2 linked regions of the Ovis aries genome follow. The protein of the gene in region 1 purifies or fractionates together with the protein of each later gene. This does not show direct contact. Links are inferred from orthologs where the notes say so. Each region holds a gene or a part of one and is shown in the gene's direction. Other genes may lie near its edges.

Region 1 (6,151 bases):
GAGCCCTCTGAGGGGTGCGAGGGGAAACAGGCCGCCGCCAAAGCCATGGCCCGCCAGGAGCCCAAGTCTCACCCGCCCTTCCCCCACTCATGCCAGCCTGACCCCCAGCGACCTCCCCTCTTCCTTGCCGCTGTGTGAGAGAGGCCCGGCTCGCCCCACCCCACCCACAGACCTAAGGTCCTTGGACCCTGGCCAGGCTAGGGCAGAACTGGATTAGGAGAGGGGCCACCAGGCTGACAGTGACCTTGGCATAATCAACATTAGCCCAGCTGGCTCCAGTCCACCTCAACCCAGGGTGGCATAGCTACCTTGAGAGGCCTGCAGCTGGAGCGACCATTGGGGCCTGCAGGCCTTGGGAGCAGTCCTGAGTGGACCCTGCCCTGCAACCCCTGTAGCCAGCTGGGCCCAGGCCCCTCAGTGCAACACTTCATCCTGGGCAGGTCTCCACCAGGTGGAAGCTGGGAAAGGGGGCCCTAGCCAGTGACCAATCTTCCAGTGACCAGCTCCCCCTCAACACCCAAAGGGAGGGCTCCTTTCTAGCCACAGCCTCCCTCTCCCCAGCTTCCCAGACTTCTACCTGCCCACGTGGGCGCACCGTGTTCTGTCTAGTCCCAGCACATCGGGAAGTCCTGGGGTGCTGGCCCATCTTGGCGATTGCTGAGGAGGGGGCTGGGACCCCTTTCCATCCCAACCTTGAGCACCCACACCCTATCTTGGGACACTCCCCACCCCCCAATCTGGTTGGAAGAGAGTAGCCAGTTTCCAGAGAGCCAGAGAGTGACAGAGAGAGAGAGAGAGAAAGAGAAAGAGCGAGCGAGAGATGCTGTTGAAGAGAGTTCAACAGCCCAAAGATTTCCCTGCCCCTGGAGTGCTGGCCAGAGGCTCCAGGGCTGAGATGGTCAGGAGCCAGTTTCTTCAGCCCCTCCTCCCCACAGCTCCAAGTGGGGAGGGGCAGCTGTCCATTTGTCCAAAGTATTAATGCAACTGAAGCTGTGATATTTCCAACGACTGTAGGAGGAAAAATTAGGGGGACAGAGGAAAACAAAACCAACCAACCCCTAAAATCATTTTCTTATTGTACATAACGACCTCATTCTCCTGTATATGCGGAAGATATAACCTTATATTTGGTAAGTGTTTCTTGTGCTATTTTATCACGTGACCTGTTTATAAAAATATATATTAAAAAAGTTGTAAAAACACATGTCTGAATTGCTTTTAGGTCATCACACCGTGGTGGGGGGAAGGTGTTCTCTGTCCTGAGTGGCCCAAGTCTGAATTTTTGTGCACCCCTCATCAGGTGTATTGGTTCTTTCAATAAACATGCAGAGACTGGTAACACTGTGCCAGACTGGAAACCCAACAGTGACCACCACAGAAGGCCCCTAACCTCTGTGTCAGCAGGGAGAGACACTAAAATCATTACATATAACACTCCTTCCAAAATATCTAGGATATAGCCCATTCTTCCAAGGGCAAGAATGAGGGCTGCTAGGGGTATCCTAGGGAGAAGGCAATGGCAACCCACTCCAGTACTCTTGCCTGGAAAATCCCATGGGTGGAGGAGCCTGGTAGGCTGCAGTCCATGGGGTCCTGAAGAGTCGGACAGGACTGAGCGACTTTACTTTCACTTTTCAGTTTCACGCATTGGAGAAGGAACTGGCAACCCACTCCAGTGTTCTCACCTGGAGAATCCCAGGGACGGGTGAGCCTGGTGGGCTGCTGTCTACGGGGTTGCACAGAGTCGGACACGACTGAAGTGACTTAGCAGCAGCAGCAGCAGCAGCAGGGGTGTCCCAGATCACACAGAGCAGCAAGCACAGGCCAGGGCGCATACCCAGCGAAGAAGGGCGGCTCAGAGAGGGTCACTGACTGAACGTTGGTGTGAACAGGTCCAGTCAGGCACCAGAGCTCTTGGAGACAGACGGACGCGAGTTCACATTCGTGTAAAACAGATGTAATCAGTATACCAGGTTGTGACGAGCGCCGTGGAGGCCACTGAGATGCGGTGGCCGGGGAAGGCCTCTAAAAAGGTGCCATTTAAGCTGAACTCTGAGGGATGAGGAGACGCGTTCTAGGGAGGACAACGAGCGTGCACCCACGATGACCGTGAGGCAGGCAAGGGCTCCTGCGGCGGGAGCTGCGCGGAGAGGACGGGCCAGGAGCTCGGGATTTGCCTCCCAGCGCGGTGAGGACGTGTGGAGGCCCGCAGGCCGGAGTCCCTGGCTGTGCGGAGCTCAGATGACGCGGGAGGGGGGACCCCAGGAGAGCCGCTAGGAGGCTGCTCCCGAGTCCCGAAGAGCGCGAAAAAGGAGGCGGAGACGGAGGAGGGGTGTGGGGCCAGCCTGGGGATGCCTGGGCTTGCTGATGGACTGTGGGGGCAGAGATGAGCACTAGCGTTCAAATAACACGAGTTAAAAAAGGAAGAGGAAGAATACCAGAGGCGGAACCGGCGAAGCCTCTCCCCCTTCTCTGCTCGCCCTCCGCCCCCAAGGCGCTCTCCCGTTCCGGAACGTTTGTAGTGTGGGCGCCCGCTTCCAGCGCGGGGCTGGAAAGAAAAGGACCACGTTCGGCGGGGGGCGGGACGGAGACGGGCTTCTTCCGGCGCGGCCGTTCCTCCCCGGGCCGGCAGTTTCGGGAAATGGCTCAGGTGCCCGCGGAAGGAGAGACTTCTCCGTTCCTCCGGTTCTGTTCCCGCGGTCTCCGCTCCCGCCGCAACCTCTGCGCCGCCAGGCTCTCCTGTGCGGTCGCGCCAGCCATCCCTCGGGCTCCGTAAACAGCTCGGTCCTGGAAGCCCCTCTGACCCTCGCGCCTCTGGTCTTCCTGCCCCCTCCTTTCCAGAGGCCGACTGTGCACGGTGGGAGCCATCTGGCTTCCCTGGCGGGACTGACTGCCCGAAGGTCCAGTGACCATCCTGATTTGGCAGTTAGGGAGTTGGAGAATTGGCCTGGCCTGGGGCTGACCAGGTAAGGTCTCCCCCAGAAGTCAGACATGGGGCTGGCTAGCCTCAGGGCAGCCATGGCACCCTCCGACTGCCCGGCCAGGGTGATGGAACTTGCCTATCAGACCGATTGACTAACGGTGGACTTCCCTGGACTAAGCAGTTTTGGAGGAACCACCCAGGGTGAAGGGTCTGAAAGGACACGCCCCTGCCGCCAGGCTGACCAGGTCTGCCCACTTCACCGATCTGTCCTCGCCACCCGTGCAGCCATGGAGAAGATGTCCCGTGTGACCACGGCCCTCGGTGGGAGCGTGCTGACTGGCCGCACCATGCACTGCCATCTGGATGCTCCGGCCAATGCCATCAGTGTGTGCCGTGACGCGGCCCAGGTGGTCGTAGCAGGCCGCAGCATCTTCAAGATCTATGCCATTGAGGAGGAGCAGTTTGTGGAGAAGCTGAACCTGCGCGTGGGCCGCAAGCCCTCCCTCAACCTGAGCTGTGCAGACGTTGTCTGGCACCAGATGGACGAGAACCTGCTGGCCACGGCGGCCACCAATGGCGTGGTGGTCACCTGGAACCTGGGCCGGCCGTCCCGCAACAAGCAGGACCAGCTGTTCACGGAGCACAAGCGCACAGTGAACAAAGTCTGCTTCCACCCCACTGAGGCCCACGTGCTGCTCAGTGGCTCCCAGGATGGCTTCATGAAGTGCTTTGACCTGCGCAGGAAGGACTCTGTCAGCACCTTCTCGGGTGAGGCCCTGGGAGGCAGGTCAGGCAGGTGTGCCTCTGCAGGTGGCCGACCTGTCTAGGCAGGTTGAGAAGCGCTGTGTGTCAGAGGCCCTCAGGTGTGCTCCCATAGGGCTTCCTGGAGGAGGAGCCAGCTGAGCTGGCACTGGAGGAGGGGGTGGAGGTCAGCAGGGAAGGGGCAGAGGTGGGCCTGGTGGAAGTGTGACGGGTACCTGGAGTGTGGGCACAGCGCTGATGCACTTGCAGGGCCAGCAGGAGTCGAGGGTAGTGTGGGATCAGGGAGAGGGCAAATGGGTGGCTGCCCTGGCAGCTCAGCCTCCTCTCGCCATGCCTCAGAGCTCCAGGCCACCTCATCGCATGAAGTCTGCTTCCAGGGTCCTCAGCCCAGGGAAGCAGTGGGGAGTGGGGCACTGCCTGGTTCCCCACCCCCCAAGTTCCCTTCCCAGCAGCCCCAGATCTTGACACCCCCGCCTTGAGCCAGCTCACATTTTTTACCTTGATGAGACCAAATGAAGACCAGGGCAGAGCCCTCAGATAATCAGGGAGCCTCTTACGACAGTCCTTGAGCTCCCTGTGCAGGGGAAAGCTGGGTGCTGCATTCGAAGGCTCCTGGTGTGGTGGTCCTCAGGGCTGGACGTGTCCCCTCAAGATCTCCAGTCCTTGGGGGCTGGCCAACCTGGCAGCTCCAGCTCAAGGTGTAGGGCCTGGGCAGAGCCTGGGGCATTTTATCTCTGCCTCCTGGGGCCTGAGGCTTCCAGAGGATTGTATTCGGCCCACCGAGGCTCCTGTTCACACAGTGCTCTGACACCTGGTCCTGAAGCCGTGACAGCTTTGCACGAGGGCAGATGTCAGATGCAGAATCCAGAGAAAATCAAGGTCCAGGAGTCTGTTAAAAACCACCTGATGCCTGGTGTCCCTCTCACCTGCCTGGGCTATTATCTGCTTTGCCATGCCTCTCTTCGCCCCTGTCCACTCTGGACAGGCCTTGGCAAATGTCTACATCACCCTCCAGGCCTGTGGTCTCGGCCACAGGCAGGAATGCAACACCAGCCCACATCCATTCTGAGGAATCCCCATTGGTTGTTTACTCTCCCTCCTGGAGCTCCTGTGGGCCACCCTGTCCCCCACCCCCAACCTTCTCCCTCCACTAATGTCCGCTCACAGGCCAGTCTGAGAGTGTGCGCGATGTCCAGTTCAGTATCCGGGACTACTTCACCTTCGCGTCCACCTTCGAGAACGGCAACGTGCAGCTCTGGGACATTCGGCGGCCCGACCGCTGTGAGCGAATGTTCACAGCCCACAATGGGCCTGTATTCTGCTGCGACTGGCACCCCGAGGACAGGTGTGGGGTGGAGGCCAGGGCAGCGGGCCAGGGTGGGTGGGCTTGTGGAAGGGCTCTCTCACTGCCTCAAGACCTGTGAGACAGAATGGGGAGCCCTCCCACTCCGAAAGAGGTCACTGAGGATTTCGTGGGCCTTCCCCAGGGGCTGGCTGGCCACAGGTGGGCGTGACAAGATGGTGAAGGTCTGGGACATGGCCACACACCGTGCCAAGGAGGTGCACTGCGTGCAGACCATCGCCTCCGTGGCCAGAGTCAAGTGGAGGCCCGAGTGCCGCCACCACCTCGCCACGTGCTCCATGATGGTGGACCACAACGTCTACGTGTGGGATGTGCGCCGGCCCTTTGTGCCCGCCGCCATGTTTGAGGAGCACCGGGACGTCACGACAGGCATCGCCTGGCGCCACCCGCATGACTCCTCCTTCCTGCTCTCCGGCTCCAAGGACAGCACTCTCTGTCAGCACCTGTTCCGTGACGCCAGCCAGCCTGTTGAGCGTGCCAACCCTGAGGGCCTCTGCTACGGCCTCTTTGGGGACCTGGCCTTCGCAGCCAAGGAGAGCCTTGTGGCCACCGAGTTGGGGCGCAAACCCTACGCTGGGGATCGGCGCCACCCCATCTTCTTCAAGCGCAAGCTGGACCCTGCCGAGCCCTTTGCGGGCCTCGCCTCCAGTGCCCTCAATGTCTTTGAGATAGAACCCGGCAGCGGCAGCATGAGCTGGTTCGTGGACACTGCCGAGCGTTATGCCCTGGCCGGCCGGCCACTGGCTGAGCTCTGTGACCACAATGCGAAAGTGGCTCGAGAGCTTGGCCGCAACCAGGTACACGGGGTGGACTGAGGGCCAGGATCTTGGTACAGGGCCTGGAGCTCCGCTGACAGCTGTGGCCGGACCCTGCCCTGAGCTCAGAGTTCAGCTCTGGCTGAGGACACCCCCAGCTTGCCCCAGTAACTGAGTGTCCAGAGCCCCAGGAGTGGGCCTGACGCCAGTGCCATTCCTGGGGTGCAGGCCTGGGTGTTGTGGGGTCTTGGCCTCTCTTGGCTTGTCCTTGCTCCTAGACTTGCAGGATGTCCAGCCCTACAGAGAATGCCCACATTGCCTTGCTCATCCTCTCCCTGGGACCTCAGG
Region 2 (6,051 bases), on another chromosome or scaffold:
AAGCACCTATTTATATGACTTTTTTTTCCCCTAGAGGAATAAATCTCCTTTATGTCCTAATAACCTTATTTACTTCAGGAATTGGAATTAACAACACAGTGTTTTAAAAATTGTGTTTTACTATATATGTGCTCAAAATCCCTGGTGGCTCAGATGGTAAAGCATCTGCCTGCAATGCGAGAGGCCTGGGTTCAATCCCTGGGTTGGGAAGATCCCCTGGAGAAGAAAATGGCAACCCACTCTAGTACTCTTGCCTGGAAAATTCCATGAATGGAGGAGCCTGGTAGGCTATAGTCCATGAGGTTGCAAAGAGTCGGACATGACTGAGCGACTTCACTTTCACTTTTATATCTGCTCCTGTATTAGAGATGTATAAGCCTCCCAAAGGTAAGGGCTGCCTAAAAGGTAGAATAATAGTTTCTATATCATAAGATCTTAAGGGTTCAAATTAAGTGATGTATGTAAAGTATTCAGCCAGGCTCCTTTTAGCTGCTAAATAAATGTAGCCATTGTAAGTACCAGGAAAAGGATATACCCGGCATTGCTATATTTAAAACATAATTTCTGCTAAAACCACAGTCTGTTGTTAGCATTGTACTTTGTATGCAGTGGAAGCTGCCTAAACCTTTGTGGAGCAGAATTGAACAAACAGAAATAACTTTTGACACAGGAAAGGAGAAAAGGATACAGTGTATACTCTGTATCTATTAATACAATGTATGCAAGTGTTCTTTTTCACGTGTGCAAGACAGTGGTAGATCCCTGCTGTACCCAGTCTGCTGTAGGACTATAAAGAAAAAAATCCATCCTACAGTATTACTCAGCCATAAAAACGATTGAAATGTCATTTGCAGCAACATGGATAGACCTAGGGAATATTATGCTTAGTGATTAAGTCAGACAGAGAAAGACAGATACTAAAAAACCAATACAAAACAAATGAATGTATATGCAGAACAAACTCTCAGACATATAAAACAAAACTTGTGGCAACCAAAGAGGAGAGGGAAAAGGGGAGGGGCAGATTAGGGGTATGGGATTAATGGATACGGACTGCTATGTATCAGATAGATAAACAACGAGGATATATTATGTAGCGGAGGGAATACACCTCTTATCTTGTAATAGCTCATAATGGTATATATTCCACAAAAATACTGAACCATATGCTGAGCACCTGAAGCTGATGCAGTATTGTATGGCACCTGTATGTCAATAAATAAAATAAAAATCAAATTGAAAAACATACATCCAACAACTATGTATTAGGTACATACCTGTACCAGTGGAGAGGGAAATGGCAACCCACTCCAATATTCTTGCCTGGAGAGTCCCATGGACAGAGGAGCCTGGTGGGCTGTAGTCCATGGGGTTGCAATAGTCAGATACGACTTAGTGACTACACCGCCTGTCTATACCAAGCATAAAGATTTTGAATATGACAAGGTTCCTTCTCCCTAAGGAGCTTTCAGCTTGTTGTGACATACATGCAAAAAGAAATGGTAAGATTAAACACTAAGGAATACTTGTGAGACTGAAAGTTAGAGGGAGACTTCATAGAGGCTTTGCTTTACATCTGTCAATGGAGACTGTATCCAAAAAGAAAGAGCAACTGGGCATTAACTCAGTACTTTGCTTTCCTAGGCTGAGTTCTTGTTGGTTCTGATTTTATCTGAAATCTGGACATATTTCTTTGTCATAATTTTAGCATGATAGAAGGATGTGTTGGGAATTCCCTAATGGTCCAGCAGTTAGGACTCTGTGCTGTCACTACTGAAGGCCTGGGTTTGATCCCTGGTTGGGGAATTAATATCCCACAAGCCATGTGACATGGCCAAAAAAAAGAAAAGAAAAGAAAAAAAGACCATCTTTCCCTAAAAGCTAAAACAGAGACAAAGAAAAAACAACAAAATACTATATCTTTATGATCCTGAGTGTGTTATATTTGAAAGAGTTCCCTCCCCCTTCCCCGAGCTCTAGTGTGGGGCAGGGATAGATAACCATATAAAATCACATCCTCTGTGTATTTAAGAGTCTCCTGTACCCAGCTCCAGACTGAAAAAGAAGACTCATTATAGATACATTATAGATACGCTGTATACGGATACACTGTATACGCTGTATACGGATACACTGTATACGCTGTATACGTACATTATAGATACACTGTATACGGATACACTGTATACGCTGTATACGTACAGTATAGATACACTGTATACATACTTTATAGATATGCTGTATATACTGTGTCCTTGCATCCTGTCCTCTGTCAAGTTATTTCTGTTGTCTGTTCAATTCTGCTATATGTGAATTTTTTCCCTGATCAAGCATTGCCCTCCAAGTCCAGGGTGTTTTATTTGGCTTGAGGGATGTGAGAAACAGTGGGTTTTGGAACCCTGGACTAGTAACCAGTCCTCGTGTACTGTTGTTGCTAGCTATCTACCTTTGGCAAGTTGCTTTATCTCTTGTTTTCTTGCTTCTGTTAGATCTAGAGATTTATTGTGAGGGTCACATTCAGACAGTATTTTGAATAATTCTTTGAATATTAAGTAGAAGGGATTGTGCTGTATGTGGGCCCCTGGCTGTCTTGTTCCTGGTGTATGACAGATGCACACCATTTGAGGAAGTAAAGAATTGCCCTAGACGCCTAACTCCCAGAGCGGAAGAGCTGCCTTCTCCCTGGGAGCAGTGGGCTGGCAGGTAAAGCTCTGGAGACAAAGGTCCCCGAACACCATCCCACTCAGCTGCTCACCACCTCTGGCTTCCTGTACAAATCCTTCAGTCAAGCTAAATTTCATTTATTTATTTTTGGCTCTGCTGGGTCTTCGTTGCTGCGCAGGCTTTTCTCCAGTTGCAGCAAGTGGGGCCTCCTCTCTAGCTGTGGACCGTGGGCTCCTCGTGGCAGCGGCCTCTCTTGTTGCAGGGCGCAGGCTCTGGGCTACGCAGGCTCAGTAGTCGTGCCATGTGGGCTCAGTACTGTGGCTCTGGGCTCTAGGCTCGATAGTTGTGGTGCACGGGCTCAGGGGCTCCCAGGCACGTGGGATCTTCCCGGACCTGGGATCGAACCCATGTCTTCTGCATTGGCAGGTGGATTCCTTACCACTGAGCCACTAGGGGAGCCTTAAATCTCAATTTTAAATGGAGCCTCCTCTGTGAGATGGGGTTGTCATTCTGAATGATGGGGTTGTAAGGACCCAGCGTGAGAACACACAGCAACCCACAACCCGCGTGAGTTGCTTGCTGCCTGAGATCCCTGAATTGTCTTTCAGACGATGAGCTAGTCATGAACCCCAAAGTATTTCCACACATCAAGCTTGGAGACATCGTGGAGATTGCCCACCCCAACGATGAGTACAGGTGAGCATCTGAGCAGGAGTAGGGGGCTAGCTGGGCAGCCTGCTGTTTCCAGGTGATGTGTTGTCTAAGGGGATGAAGGGCGAGATGGCTCTTTGCCTTGGGATAAAAATGTTCCTGCCCTCTGGGATTTGCTAGACCAATCAATCTTTTTAAAAGGGGTCCATTCTTTCTGGTTACAAAGCTGAGAGAACTCTGAACAATTCTGTAGCATTTATTCATTCCCTTGAATACAGTAAGTCTCTGACATACCAATGAGTTCTGTTCTGAGAGTGCATTTGTCCTTAAGTCCAATTTGTCCCTAAGTCCAGCGAAATTGGCCTAGGTACCCAGCTGACACAATTGGCTGTATAGTATGTGCTGTAATAGGTTCAGAACATTGGGCTGGCCAGTATTCGAGTTCTTCCGTATCCCAATGAACTTTTTGGCCAGCCTAATACTTTTTCACACAAATAATACATACATCAAAAACACAAAAAATAAAACGGATTTAATCGTACAGCACAGTACCTTGAAAACTACAGTCATCCAGTACAGTGGGTGGCACACGGGGGCTGGCACGCACATTCACATCTTTGGAAGTTCACAAGTTGAAGGTTTGGATGTAGGGGACTTACTGTACAAGTGCAGAGTTTGTTTCTAAAGGAACTCTCTCCTGTTCTTGTGCTGCCGGTTAGAATATGTCCAGAGTGATCTGTTTGTGTTTTGTGGGTGGTAAAAAAAAACTGATTAGTTAATGCTGACAACATCTCTTCTCTTTGTTGCTTTCTCCCCCACCCCTCCACCCCCACCACCTCTAGCCCTCTGCTTTTGCAGGTCAAGTCACTTAAGGAGGATTTGCAGAAAGGTAAGAATTCCATCTCTCTTCTCTAAGATTTTTTACACTTTATTGTTTCAGAAACTTTAAGAAAGCTCCCTTCACAATGAGGGCACAGTATGTCTCTCCTTATCAAATTGTGTTCCTGCTAATAAAAATATTGTCAGATACCAAAACTGCCAAGGAATCTCATTCGTCAGCACCTTGAGGGCACTAGACATTTTTAACTATGTTTAGGGACTTCCCTGGTGGTCCAGTGGCTAAGACTCTGTGCTCCCAATGCAGGGGGCCTGGGTTCGATCCCTGGTCGGGGAACTAAGAGTTCCCACAACTAAGACCCTGCATAGCCAAATAAGTAAATACTAACAAGAAAACAAAAACTATATTTAGGATCAAAAGGAAAGTAGAGTAAGCCCTACACTTAAACTCTAAAACAATTGTTGGCAAAGCATGCTTTTCTCAATATTATATTTTTTCACAAAATATTTGTTTCGTGTCTACACTGGGCTGGAGCAGAGGAAGAACATAGACCGCTGATTACCCGGCACTTGTGCAAAGCACTGAACTGGAGCTGCTTGGCATCTATCTGTCTTTTTCTTCCCACCAGCTCTTGAGTGAGGGAGGAACCTTTGTCTCAGTGGGATGAGCAAGTTTGCCTGGTGTTAGCAAGTGAAGGAGCCAGAGCAGTGATTCTATCAATACTAACTCAGTCTGAATCCAAATCCTTTCTTCTAATGACTATACCATGCTGATCTAGGAACTAAAATGTTAATTGATAGCAAATAAAATAATTCCTTAAACGGCACTGAAAAGAAAAAATTTTTTTTAATCTTCTCTAAAGGATTTTGATGTCAACCACTTTTTTATGTTTTAAATTGACGGGAAAACGTGTTTTCAAACCTAGATCCTGAGTGTCCTTTTTGCTCTCACCTCAGTGCTCTTGCCTGGAGAATCCCAGAGATGGGGGAGCCTGGTGGGCTGCCGTCTGTGGGGTCGCACAGAGTCGGACACGACTGAAGCGACTTAGCAGCAGCAGCCGCATCTCCTGCTGCCTATTACGTTCTTACTTAGCAGACTTCAGGGCTCATTGGAAAGTTTGTTTCTTTCTTGACTACCATCACCACTTTTACTCCAAAAGAGAAAGGGTCTCTTTCCTCTTCTCAATTTTCACAACCCTTTGAATTTTCTTGTGTTGCTTCTTAAACTCTTTTTTCTCTCTCTCTATTTCAGTCTGTCTCTCTCTCATTTTTTAATTGCTTGGCTTCAGGTCTTACTTCACCTGAACAGCAGAGAACTCTCTAAGTTTTAAGTTCCTGAAGACAGAAAACATGTCTTGCCCTTGGTAAAGGATCAGTTGTGTTGTTTGTTGAATGTTTGGGCATTTATAGATTGTGTGTGTGTGTGTGCACACACACACGCACACACGTGCCCTCAGTTGTATCTCATTCTTTGTGACCCCATGGACTGTAGCCTGCCAGTCTCCTCTGCCTATGAATTTTCTAGGGAAGAATACTGGAGCGGGTTGCCATTTCCTTCTCCAGGCGATCTTCCCGACCCAGGGATCGAACCCACATCTCCTGATTCTCCTGAATTGGCAGGCAGATTCTTTACCACTGAGCCACCTGAGAAGCCGTTTATAGATTAGAATGTATTTGCCTGGTTTTTCAGAATGCTCTATGTGATTCAGATTTCTTCTCTGTTTCAGAAACCATCAGTGTGGACCAGACTGTGACTCAGGTGTTCCGGCTAAGACCTTATCAAGATGTGTATGTGAATGTTGTTGACCCTAAGGTGTGTCTTTGTTCTGGATTTGAATATCTTATGGGGAATGATTAATGCCCTTCCTCAACAGTAGGTCTCTAAGGAAATAATGAGTT

The links.
Region 2: the proteins of WDR24 (region 1) and DEPDC5 purify together in Homo sapiens (affinity purification with western blotting; 4 studies listed by BioGRID and IntAct, with this or other methods). This does not show direct contact. The link is inferred for Ovis aries from reciprocal best matches to the Homo sapiens genes WDR24 and DEPDC5.

The regions. Positions count from the first base shown.
Region 1 is NC_056077.1:1,125,070-1,131,220, reverse strand, and holds the start of WDR24 (GATOR complex protein WDR24), read left to right. Parts: upstream 1-2,586; 5' UTR 2,587-3,210; coding exon 3,211-3,691; intron 3,692-4,852; coding exon 4,853-5,030; intron 5,031-5,172; coding exon 5,173-5,845; intron 5,846-6,151. UniProt on the Homo sapiens protein: Catalytic component of the GATOR2 complex, a multiprotein complex that acts as an activator of the amino acid-sensing branch of the mTORC1 signaling pathway. The GATOR2 complex indirectly activates mTORC1 through the inhibition of the GATOR1 subcomplex.
Region 2 is NC_056070.1:70,304,017-70,310,067, forward strand, and holds part of DEPDC5 (GATOR1 complex protein DEPDC5), read left to right. Parts: intron 1-3,272; coding exon 3,273-3,360; intron 3,361-4,157; coding exon 4,158-4,204; intron 4,205-4,416; exon of another isoform or gene 4,417-4,489; intron 4,490-5,879; coding exon 5,880-5,965; intron 5,966-6,051. UniProt on the Homo sapiens protein: As a component of the GATOR1 complex functions as an inhibitor of the amino acid-sensing branch of the mTORC1 pathway.